Caenorhabditis elegans: one gene and its partner. The protein of the gene in region 1 purifies or fractionates together with the protein of each later gene. This does not show direct contact. Each region holds a gene or a part of one and is shown in the gene's direction. Other genes may lie near its edges.

Evidence for each region.
Region 2: the proteins of dyn-1 (region 1) and tbb-1 purify together in Caenorhabditis elegans (affinity purification with mass spectrometry, with the first as the bait; one study listed by BioGRID). This does not show direct contact.

The regions. Positions count from the first base shown.
Region 1 is NC_003284.9:15,567,156-15,573,493, forward strand, and holds dyn-1 (Dynamin), read left to right. Parts: upstream 1-1,765; coding exon 1,766-1,932; intron 1,933-1,997; coding exon 1,998-2,221; intron 2,222-2,402; coding exon 2,403-3,009; intron 3,010-3,054; coding exon 3,055-3,558; intron 3,559-3,605; coding exon 3,606-3,881; intron 3,882-4,415; coding exon 4,416-4,695; intron 4,696-4,799; coding exon 4,800-5,185; intron 5,186-5,358; coding exon of another isoform or gene 5,359-5,407; exon of another isoform or gene 5,408-5,440; intron 5,441-5,721; coding exon 5,722-5,794; downstream 5,795-6,338.
Region 2 is NC_003281.10:10,740,321-10,744,343, reverse strand, and holds tbb-1 (Tubulin beta chain), read left to right. Parts: upstream 1-1,911; 5' UTR 1,912-1,918; coding exon 1,919-2,084; intron 2,085-2,129; coding exon 2,130-2,935; intron 2,936-2,985; coding exon 2,986-3,363; 3' UTR 3,364-3,476; downstream 3,477-4,023. Other genes in the region: rib-2 (Exostosin-like-3 homolog), read right to left, coding at 1-81, 571-751, 807-939, 985-1,085, 1,142-1,219, 1,265-1,400, 1,452-1,470; tass-1 (Protein FAM32A), read left to right, coding at 3,578-3,699, 3,738-3,819, 3,864-3,983.

The DNA.
Region 1 (6,338 bases):
GTTTTATAAATTTCAGAGCATATGAAATCATTGTACATCAACTGATTAGTCACAAATTCATTATCAGGAGTAGTATGGGAATGTTAAATTCGTTATTTGTTTACACACCGCTGGTTCTTAGTAAAATTTTCTAATAGGAAGTAACTGGAATTTGTTTGGAAACCTACAAATCTGTTAATTTCGGAATTAATATCCAAGTTTCCAAATTAGCAGAAATAAAATTTTGAAGTAATATCTGGTTGAAATGTTGTGTTTCTGCTATAAAACTTGAAAAGAAACCTTGAATCCTGCTAGAGAATCGCCTTTGGTCAGAAAATCGAACATCAGTTTTTACTGCAAGTGACAATTTTCAGGGAGTATTTGAAGCCGTTATTTTTAATCCCAACTTTTTAAATGAAAATGAGTATATTTTTCATATTTATGATATGCATATATATATGTTCAATCTATCTGTGTTAGAGCTTGATGATTATTTCGAATCGGGCGGGTTTAAAGATCTGCCAAAAAAATTTGCAGTACTACCCTGTCTTGAAAAAAAAAGAAGAAAAACTGTGATACAATTTAACAATCATGAACATACGACAATTCTCTACAAATTATAATATCATAATGAATTCCATATTTTGTTTAAACAAATTGGACTAAATGAATTTCCTCGTCTCTAATAAACAAATAGAACGTGGAAAAACCTTCTTACTAATCATGATTTCTGGTCACAATTGTGACTCGATATTTGCTAAGATGACGATTTTTCTTTTCTTCCTACGGTACTGATCGGACTGTTGTAAAAGTTTCACAATTTTGAAATATTTTATTTTATTTTTATTTTGCATAATTTCCAAAGGTCATCCATCTCATTTCCATTCTCAATAAAAAAAATTTTTAAAGTCTGCCTCTTTTTATTAAAGAAACGATGTTATTTGCTCACTAACTTCCATTCACACGTTTCCAGCGAGATAGCAGGTAAGTTGAGAGACGCAGGTGGTTAGACTACAAACAGAAGGGTGGCCGGCTGCCACCCTCTCCACACCACTATTTCACAACATTTACAATGAATTGATCTACCCGCCAAATTCTGGTTTTCGGCAATCCAAAACTGTTCGCTTTGTTTTCCACTTTTTCATTTTTCATTTCTCCTCCACTACTTATTTGGATTTTCTTTTTCAAATGTGTCCCGTTTAGTTTTTTTTTGCATCTAACAACCTTCTGTTTTTTTCCAATATTTTCATTAAACAAGCCTCCAAATTCTTCATAAAATTCCTCGTGAAAAGAAATTTCTTGTCGTGGTTACTGCTGACGCGTTTTGCGATGAGTGTGTGTTGGCACGCTCTCCGCCGTCGCTGGCCAAGCCTTTTTCTCTCCCCGCCGCAGTACTGACTGCGAGGCTGACTCACTGCGGTCATTTCGTTTGCCTCACCCTCACTTTTAGTCTCTGCATCTCCGAGTCTCTCCGCGCTTTTTTGTACGCCGATCGTTTCTTCTTCTTGTTTTCCAAACATTCAACACCGTTTTGCCGACAATGATTCTGAATATTTGTTGATTTTGTTTTTTCAAATGCGATTTGAGGATTTTTTTTTCTAATTTTATATTCTATATTCTTGAAGGTGATAAATTTCATTCTAAAACATAATTATTAAACCTCCGAAAACCTCATTGCGAAATCGTGCTTTTTCCATTAAATCTTCTCAATGCTCTTCCTCATATCATTAATCGACTAAAAAAATCGATTTTCAGGTAGTTCAGCGTATAACCACCAGGATCAGCCATGTCGTGGCAAAACCAGGGAATGCAGGCGTTGATCCCTGTGATCAATCGTGTCCAGGACGCCTTCTCCCAGCTGGGCACATCTGTCAGCTTCGAACTTCCACAGATCGCCGTCGTCGGAGGACAGTCCGCTGGAAAGTCGTCGGTGCTGGAGAATTTTGTCGGAAAGTGAGTCACAAGAAGAAAAAAAACATAACTTTGCGAAATAAAATCACAATTTTTTTCCTTTCCAGAGACTTCTTGCCACGTGGATCAGGAATCGTAACACGTCGTCCACTTATTTTGCAGCTTATTCAAGATCGCAATGAGTACGCCGAGTTCCTACACAAGAAGGGTCATCGCTTTGTGGATTTTGATGCAGTTCGGAAAGAGATTGAGGATGAGACTGATCGTGTCACTGGACAGAATAAGGGAATCAGTCCACATCCAATCAACTTGCGTGTCTTTTCTCCAAATGGTAAGCATTTAGAAACTCACAGAAACGCAAGTGCGCTGGATGATTTGAGCATCTGAAACCAGACTTATGCAACTTTTTTTAAAATTTAAATTGCATTAAAGATTTCATAAATTTACAGTGAGTTGCACAAAATCACTGGAAAAATTCACACATTTTAATTAATTCATACTTAATTTTTCAGTTCTAAATCTGACACTCATCGATTTGCCCGGTCTCACAAAAGTGCCCGTCGGAGATCAACCAGCAGATATTGAGCAACAGATCCGTGACATGATTCTCACATTCATCAACCGTGAGACTTGCCTCATTCTTGCCGTCACTCCGGCCAACAGCGATCTCGCCACTTCGGATGCGTTGAAACTTGCGAAGGAAGTCGATCCACAGGGTCTTCGCACGATTGGAGTCCTCACCAAACTTGACTTGATGGACGAGGGAACCGATGCTCGCGAGATCCTCGAGAACAAGCTGTTCACACTTCGTCGTGGCTACGTCGGAGTTGTCAATCGTGGGCAGAAGGATATTGTCGGTCGCAAGGATATTAGAGCTGCTTTGGACGCCGAGAGAAAGTTCTTCATCTCACACCCATCCTACCGACATATGGCTGATCGGTTGGGAACAAGCTACCTTCAACACACTCTTAATCAACAGCTCACCAATCATATCCGTGATACACTGCCAACACTTCGTGATAGTCTTCAAAAGAAGATGTTTGCTATGGAAAAGGATGTGGCCGAGTACAAGAACTACCAGCCAAATGATCCAGGCCGCAAGACCAAGGCTCTTTTGCAGTAAGTGATTTCAATGGAGGTGCTTTATTAACAAAATTTTTGCAGAATGGTTACCCAGTTCAATGCTGACATTGAGCGCTCCATTGAAGGTTCCTCTGCAAAGCTGGTTTCAACCAATGAGCTCAGTGGAGGAGCCCGTATCAATCGGCTTTTCCATGAGCGTTTCCCATTTGAGATTGTTAAAATGGAAATTGACGAGAAAGAAATGCGCAAAGAAATCCAGTATGCCATCAGAAACATTCACGGTATCCGCGTCGGTCTCTTCACTCCGGATATGGCGTTTGAGGCAATTGCCAAAAAGCAAATCACCCGTCTGAAGGAGCCATCGTTGAAATGCGTTGATCTGGTGGTCAACGAGTTGGCTAATGTGATCAGACAGTGCGCTGACACTATGGCTAGATATCCACGTCTTCGTGACGAGCTGGAAAGAATCGTCGTCTCGCATATGCGTGAACGTGAGCAAATTGCCAAGCAGCAAATTGGGCTCATTGTTGACTACGAACTCGCTTATATGAACACAAACCATGAGGATTTCATTGGATTCAGCAAGTAGGAGTTTAGACTTTGCTTTTAGATGTTTAATTTTATTTTTTTAGTGCTGAAGCAAAAGCCTCCCAAGGACAATCAGCGAAGAAGAATCTTGGAAACCAGGTGATCAGAAAGGGCTGGCTCTCACTGAGCAACGTATCGTTTGTGCGTGGCTCCAAGGACAATTGGTTTGTGCTCATGTCGGACAGTTTGAGTTGGTACAAAGATGATGAGGAGAAGGAGAAGAAGTACATGCTCCCATTGGATGGTGTCAAGCTGAAGGATATTGAGGGTGGATTTATGTCTCGTAACCACAAGTTTGCTCTGTTCTACCCCGACGGAAAGTGAGTTACTCAAGAATTTTGCGATTTGATTGCCATTTCAACATTCCAAGAGCCCGCACGCTTTTCTTTCCACATTAGAGTTTCATTAGGCAGAAACACAGGAACACTAAATTGAGCATGAGTTTTGAAACGAGACAAAAAACGCACACACACACAAAATCAATTTTTTTTGAATATTTGTTTAAATTAAATTAATTTGCAGGAGGTGAGTGTATAGTTTACTTTCTTCACTTCTTCTTCTTCTTTAATGACTTGTAAGACAGAAAAACCTTTGTGTTGTCGTCCTTGTGATCTGTTTTCATTTTTTTTACCCGAAAAGTTTATCCACCTTGAAACCAACACCTTTCACTTCTGTAGTCAATTTCTTATTTTTCCTGTTTCTCTTTCTCTGCTGTGACAGTTTCAGTTCAGACAAAAAAAAATACAGCATGCAAAATGCTTTTTAGATAAAAGATTCTGAACCAGCATGAAGATGTAAACTCATGTATCCTTGACCTCACGCACTTGCTTCTCCCATAACCCTTTGAATTCCAGGAACATCTACAAGGATTACAAGCAGCTTGAGTTGGGATGCACCAATTTGGACGAAATTGATGCGTGGAAGGCTTCATTCTTGCGTGCTGGTGTCTATCCAGAAAAGCAGAAGGCACAGGAAGATGAGTCCCAACAAGAGATGGAGGATACCTCGATTGATCCACAACTTGAGAGACAGGTGGAGACAATCCGTAATTTGGTTGATTCCTACATGAGAATCATTACCAAGACAATTAAGGACCTGGTTCCAAAGGCGGTGATGCATTTGATTGTTAACCAGGTGAGGGATTTTAAAAGAATTGAATGATTCATCGTGATATCATCACGGCCTGTTTTTTTAACCGTACACAATAAACCTTAAACTAAATATCTCAATAATTTCAGACAGGTGAGTTCATGAAAGATGAACTTTTGGCCCATCTCTACCAATGCGGCGACACTGATGCTCTCATGGAGGAATCTCAAATAGAAGCCCAGAAGCGCGAGGAGATGCTCCGAATGTACCATGCTTGCAAGGAGGCGCTCCGCATTATCTCTGAAGTCAACATGAGCACCCTTGGCGACCAGCCGCCGCCATTGCCGATGTCTGACTACCGCCCACACCCATCTGGACCTTCACCGGTGCCGCGTCCGGCTCCTGCTCCACCAGGCGGACGTCAGGCCCCAATGCCACCACGCGGAGGACCCGGTGCCCCACCACCACCAGGCATGAGACCACCACCAGGTGCGCCAGGAGGCGGCGGTGGCATGTACCCACCGTTGATTCCAACGTAAGTTTATGCCTATTTTTTTTCGAAAAGAGCACCAGATCTCTTCTAATCTTTCCTATTTTGGTCCGTCATACTCTTTCTTCTGTCAAAATTTTTTTTCTGAAATTTAGAAAAAAAAATACTGTCAACAAGTCAGAATAAAACCTAAAACTAACGTGTACCAACCACTCTAGGCGTCCGGGACCAGGCGGCCCACCACCCAACATGGCACCGCCTAGATAATAATGTTGTGAATAATTCCCCCACTGACCAAAGGTTTGTTAATCGCGAAGAAGCAGTACAGAGAAGTGTATAATTGTTTGTTGTAATCGTGATGTGTATTAGCAGCATCTATCTAGTGTTGTGATCCCTTGGCACTTTATCGGAACATTTTTATATTCCACTATCTTCCTGTGATTTTTTCTACAGAAAGAAGCAAAAGCTAACTTTTCTTTCTCATCAAATTTTTCATAATTTCGTCATTATTTGCATGTTTCAATGGTGGTCTAGCTTTCTGTTGTTGTAGTATTAATCTGAAACGTTGTTTTTTTTTTCAGAAGAGTACCGACACCATCCAACGGAGCACCAGAGATTCCAGCTCGCCCGCAAGTCCCCAAGAGACCTTTCTAAATGCTTTTACATCTCCATCCTAGCTCACTTGTCATACTATTACCGTTCCCATAGTAATTGTACAATGCCCCCGTTTTATCAAGCATTTCTTTTTTTTTTTTGAGAATTTTTAAATTAATCAATATCCCGAGTTCTTCCACCTTTTGAGCAAGTCTCGTTGAGGATTGCATTGGTCCCAGCGCTAACTAGGCGTCAATTCATCCACCTCTCCATTCTCTCTCCCGTTCCAACTGTGTTTTTCTTTGTCAGCGGCGAATTTTCCACAACCAATCGAGTCCTATTTCTCTTTTTTTCCCCCACCTCCCAATAATTTTATTTGCATGTTTTATAAACTCACTTTGTTCAATAATTTATTGATTTTATTTTTTCTATGATTTGAAACTTTACATTTTTCCTACTCTTCTATAGCAATACTTTGTCACTTACAATAACCCCCCCCCCCCAGTCTGCCTATATTTATTTAGATGTTCTTTATGGCCACCCAATGTATAAACTCTTTTAGTGCATTTGTAGGTTCTTTCTTCATCCCACCCAATTCCCCCTC
Region 2 (4,023 bases), on another chromosome or scaffold:
ATTGATAATCGGGCTTCCAACATTGAATAGTATAGAATTGAAGGTCGTATTTGGTGAGGCTATGCCGTTTGAGATGTGGATCTGAAAAAAAAAACGATTTGTTTTGGCAAAAATTTCAGAAAACGGTCGAAAAACTTATAGGATTTTTTCAAATGTGCAAAAAAAATTATTATTGGAACAAAATCCATGAAATTTGCTGGAATAATGACAGAAAACAGTCTCCGAATAAAACTATATTTGCTTTTCGATTTTCAAGGCCAACTTTGATGTTTCATCGAATTTCTCTCTCGTTATCAAGTTTTTTAACAAAAAAGTCTGAAAATGTGACAACTTATATTTAAAAAATTATCAAAAAAAATTGCAAAATTGAAAAATAATTTTTTACATTGTATATTCGTTATATTTAGATTGTTTTCTATCTTTTTAGGTTGAAAAAACCCAGATATTTCCTGAAATCGGACAATTTTAACGTATTTTGTTCCAAAAATGGAGTAATTTCTCTAGGCTGGCAGATTCAATTTGGCCTTGAAAAGCCTATTTTTAAAAGGATTATTTTTTTCAAAAAATCACCTTTATACACGCCTTATCCGGTGTTTCTACTAAATTAGGTATCACTTCTTGAAACACGTTCAGCCATTCCTTCTCCGATTGCCCTGAAGTGATAATATCTACATAAACTGGCATAAATGAGGATATGGAGCATCGACTGTAATCAATGATGTCATCGAGCTGATTCGGAGAAATTTGAGATCTGAAAATTAAAATCTTGATGAAAACCTAATCTAAATTTAAAGAAAAAAGCTTACGGTTGCTCCAATTCCCGTGGAATTTGAAGCGGTGAAAATGGCAGAAATACTTTGACATTTTGCGTTTCTCGGAGCTCTTCTAACTGTCGCTGTGCAGCTTCAATTTCTCCCTCTAGAGCCGATAGTTCTAGTTCTGAAATTGGAATTTTTAAAATTCAAAATCTAAAAATCCGCATACGTTTCTGAGGAATCAATCTTTGTAGTTCTTCTTGAACAGTCCGAATTTCTTCAATTTTTACTTGAGATTCCGTCAATTCCAAACGAACTGAAGCAAGGATTCTGGAAGAAAATTATAAAAAATAGTTTAGCGTTTCTCAAAAAAAGCAACAAGATACCGTTTCTGCTCCCGTAATATTCTTCCAATAGAGTATCCACTGCATGACGCGTCATAATCGTCTAGATTTTCAATGTTTCTAAAAAAAATTTCATCGATAAATGCATTTTTTCGAGATTCTTACTGTTTGAGAGCATCTTGCGTTATCCAGGAAGGCTCGGAGAAGGAGACATTGTAGATAATTATATAAGTGATAACAAAGAAAATGAAGATTAAAAATGCAGAAACACGAAGAGATGGCACAAAACTTCGACTTGAACCTGGAAATTGAGTAAAAAAATTAATTTAAATTTACAGAATTACAGGATTACCATTTAACTTTATAGCCATTGATATTACCGGCTCGAGACTTGAATTTTTATGTTTCTGGGCATTGGATTTATTATTTTATTTGCTGCAACTAGAAAAAATTGAATTTTATGTATTTAAAAATGCTTTAGTAAAAATAAGCAGGCTTAAAAATTTAAACTTTTTGAAAACAAGCAAGTGCGCTCCATGGCACACGCGCGCGTATTGCGACGCGTGGCGCCAAAAAACCCATTCGAAAACCAATTCCGCGGCAAATGAGTCATTCTCGTCCCAAAATTTAGGCGAACACTGGTCATTTTGTCGGTTTCGCATCGTTATCATGCCGTTTTTATCACTTCACTGTTTTTGATGATTTTCGGAAATGTTTTACGTCGGGTGCAATCGATTTATTTCTTGCGTGTGCCCTCGTCCTATTTCATCATTCCTTTCCGTCGCACACCCATTATTTCCTTCATTTTTCAGAAACAACATGAGAGAAATCGTCCACGTTCAAGCCGGACAGTGCGGAAACCAGATCGGGTCCAAGTTCTGGGAAGTCATCTCCGATGAGCACGGAATCCAGCCCGACGGAACCTTCAAGGGAGAAAGCGATCTCCAGCTGGAGAGAATCGATGTCTACTACAACGAGGCCAACAGTATGTTTATCTAAGATAAAGCAGTTCTTATTTCGATCTTTTCAGATGGCAAATACGTTCCACGTGCAGTCCTCGTTGATCTCGAGCCAGGAACGATGGATTCTGTGCGGTCCGGTCCTTTCGGACAACTCTTCAGACCAGACAACTTTGTTTTCGGACAATCTGGAGCTGGAAACAATTGGGCCAAGGGACATTACACCGAGGGAGCAGAACTTGTTGACAACGTGCTCGATGTGATCCGCAAAGAGGCTGAAGGATGCGATTGTCTTCAAGGATTCCAGCTCACACACTCTCTTGGAGGTGGAACCGGATCCGGAATGGGAACCCTTCTCATCTCCAAGATTCGCGAGGAATTCCCAGATCGAATTATGTCTTCCTTCTCGGTTGTTCCATCACCAAAGGTTTCGGATACCGTCGTCGAGCCGTACAATGCCACCCTCTCTGTCCACCAGCTTGTTGAGAACACCGACGAGACTTACTGTATCGATAACGAGGCTCTCTACGATATCTGCTACAGAACTCTAAAGCTCACCAACCCAACATACGGAGACCTGAACCATCTCGTGTCTCTCACAATGTCTGGAGTGACTACCTGCCTCCGCTTCCCTGGACAGCTGAACGCTGATCTTCGCAAGTTGGCTGTCAACATGGTTCCATTCCCACGTCTTCATTTCTTCATGCCTGGATTCGCTCCACTCTCCGCCAAGGGAGCTCAGGCTTACCGTGCATTGACTGTCGCCGAGCTTACTCAACAAATGTTCGACGCCAAGAACATGATGGCTGCTTGCGATCCAAGACACGGAAGATACCTCACCGTTGCTGCTATGTTCCGTGGACGCATGTCCATGAGAGTAAGTTCATCGATTGCTTGTAACTTTTCACTATATGCTTTGTTTTTCAGGAGGTTGACGAGCAGATGCTCAGTGTCCAGAACAAGAACTCCTCGTACTTCGTTGAATGGATTCCAAACAACGTCAAGACTGCTGTGTGCGACATCCCACCACGTGGACTCAAGATGGCTGCCACCTTCGTCGGAAACTCCACTGCTATCCAGGAGCTCTTCAAGCGTATCTCGGAGCAATTCACCGCCATGTTCCGCAGAAAGGCCTTCCTTCATTGGTACACTGGTGAGGGTATGGACGAGATGGAGTTCACCGAGGCTGAAAGCAACATGAACGACTTGATCTCGGAGTACCAACAATACCAGGAAGCTACCGCCGAAGACGAGCCACTCGACGAGTTCGCCGGAGAAGGGGAGACATACGAGTCTGAGCAATAATCTGTGTATCAATCACTAAATTATCCTGCCCCGTTTCGTAATTTCCTGTACAATGATCTTTTCTTTCGCCCACTCCCAATATTTTTATGACTCGAATGAACGATGATTAATTTAAACTTTTTTCCAGTGTTCTCATTATGTTTCAATCATTAAAATATCTTGCAAAAGCTCGATAGAAGGTAGACACTGGTTCACAATTTTCATATTCAGAACAATGAAAGACACAGTCGTCAAAGGATCTCTCAAGTTGAAAAAAGTATCGACAGAAGCGCCAAAGAAGACTAAAAAGAGTAAGCCAGCTATGGACTTGAAGCAAGTTGACATGACGATCAGAAGGTATGTGTAATCCGAAACCAGACAGCTAACGGTCCCAGAGATTCCAGAAACACTTCCGGCGGTGGGCCACACAAAACCGAGGCTGAGCTTCGGTTCGAGGCTAGAAGACAGGCGAACATGGTAGGCGCTTTTTTTTTTAATACTTAAAATTCACATAATTTCAGGCGGAAAGAATGCTGAAACAGGCGGCGTTGAGTCATCGTGAAAAGGTGGAGAAGTTGAACAAGCAGCTCGGCGAGATGACAGAATTCAACGACATTCCAAAAGTTTCCTGGACGAAATAATAATAATAATCTCTCTCTCTCTCTCTCTCTCTCTCTCTCT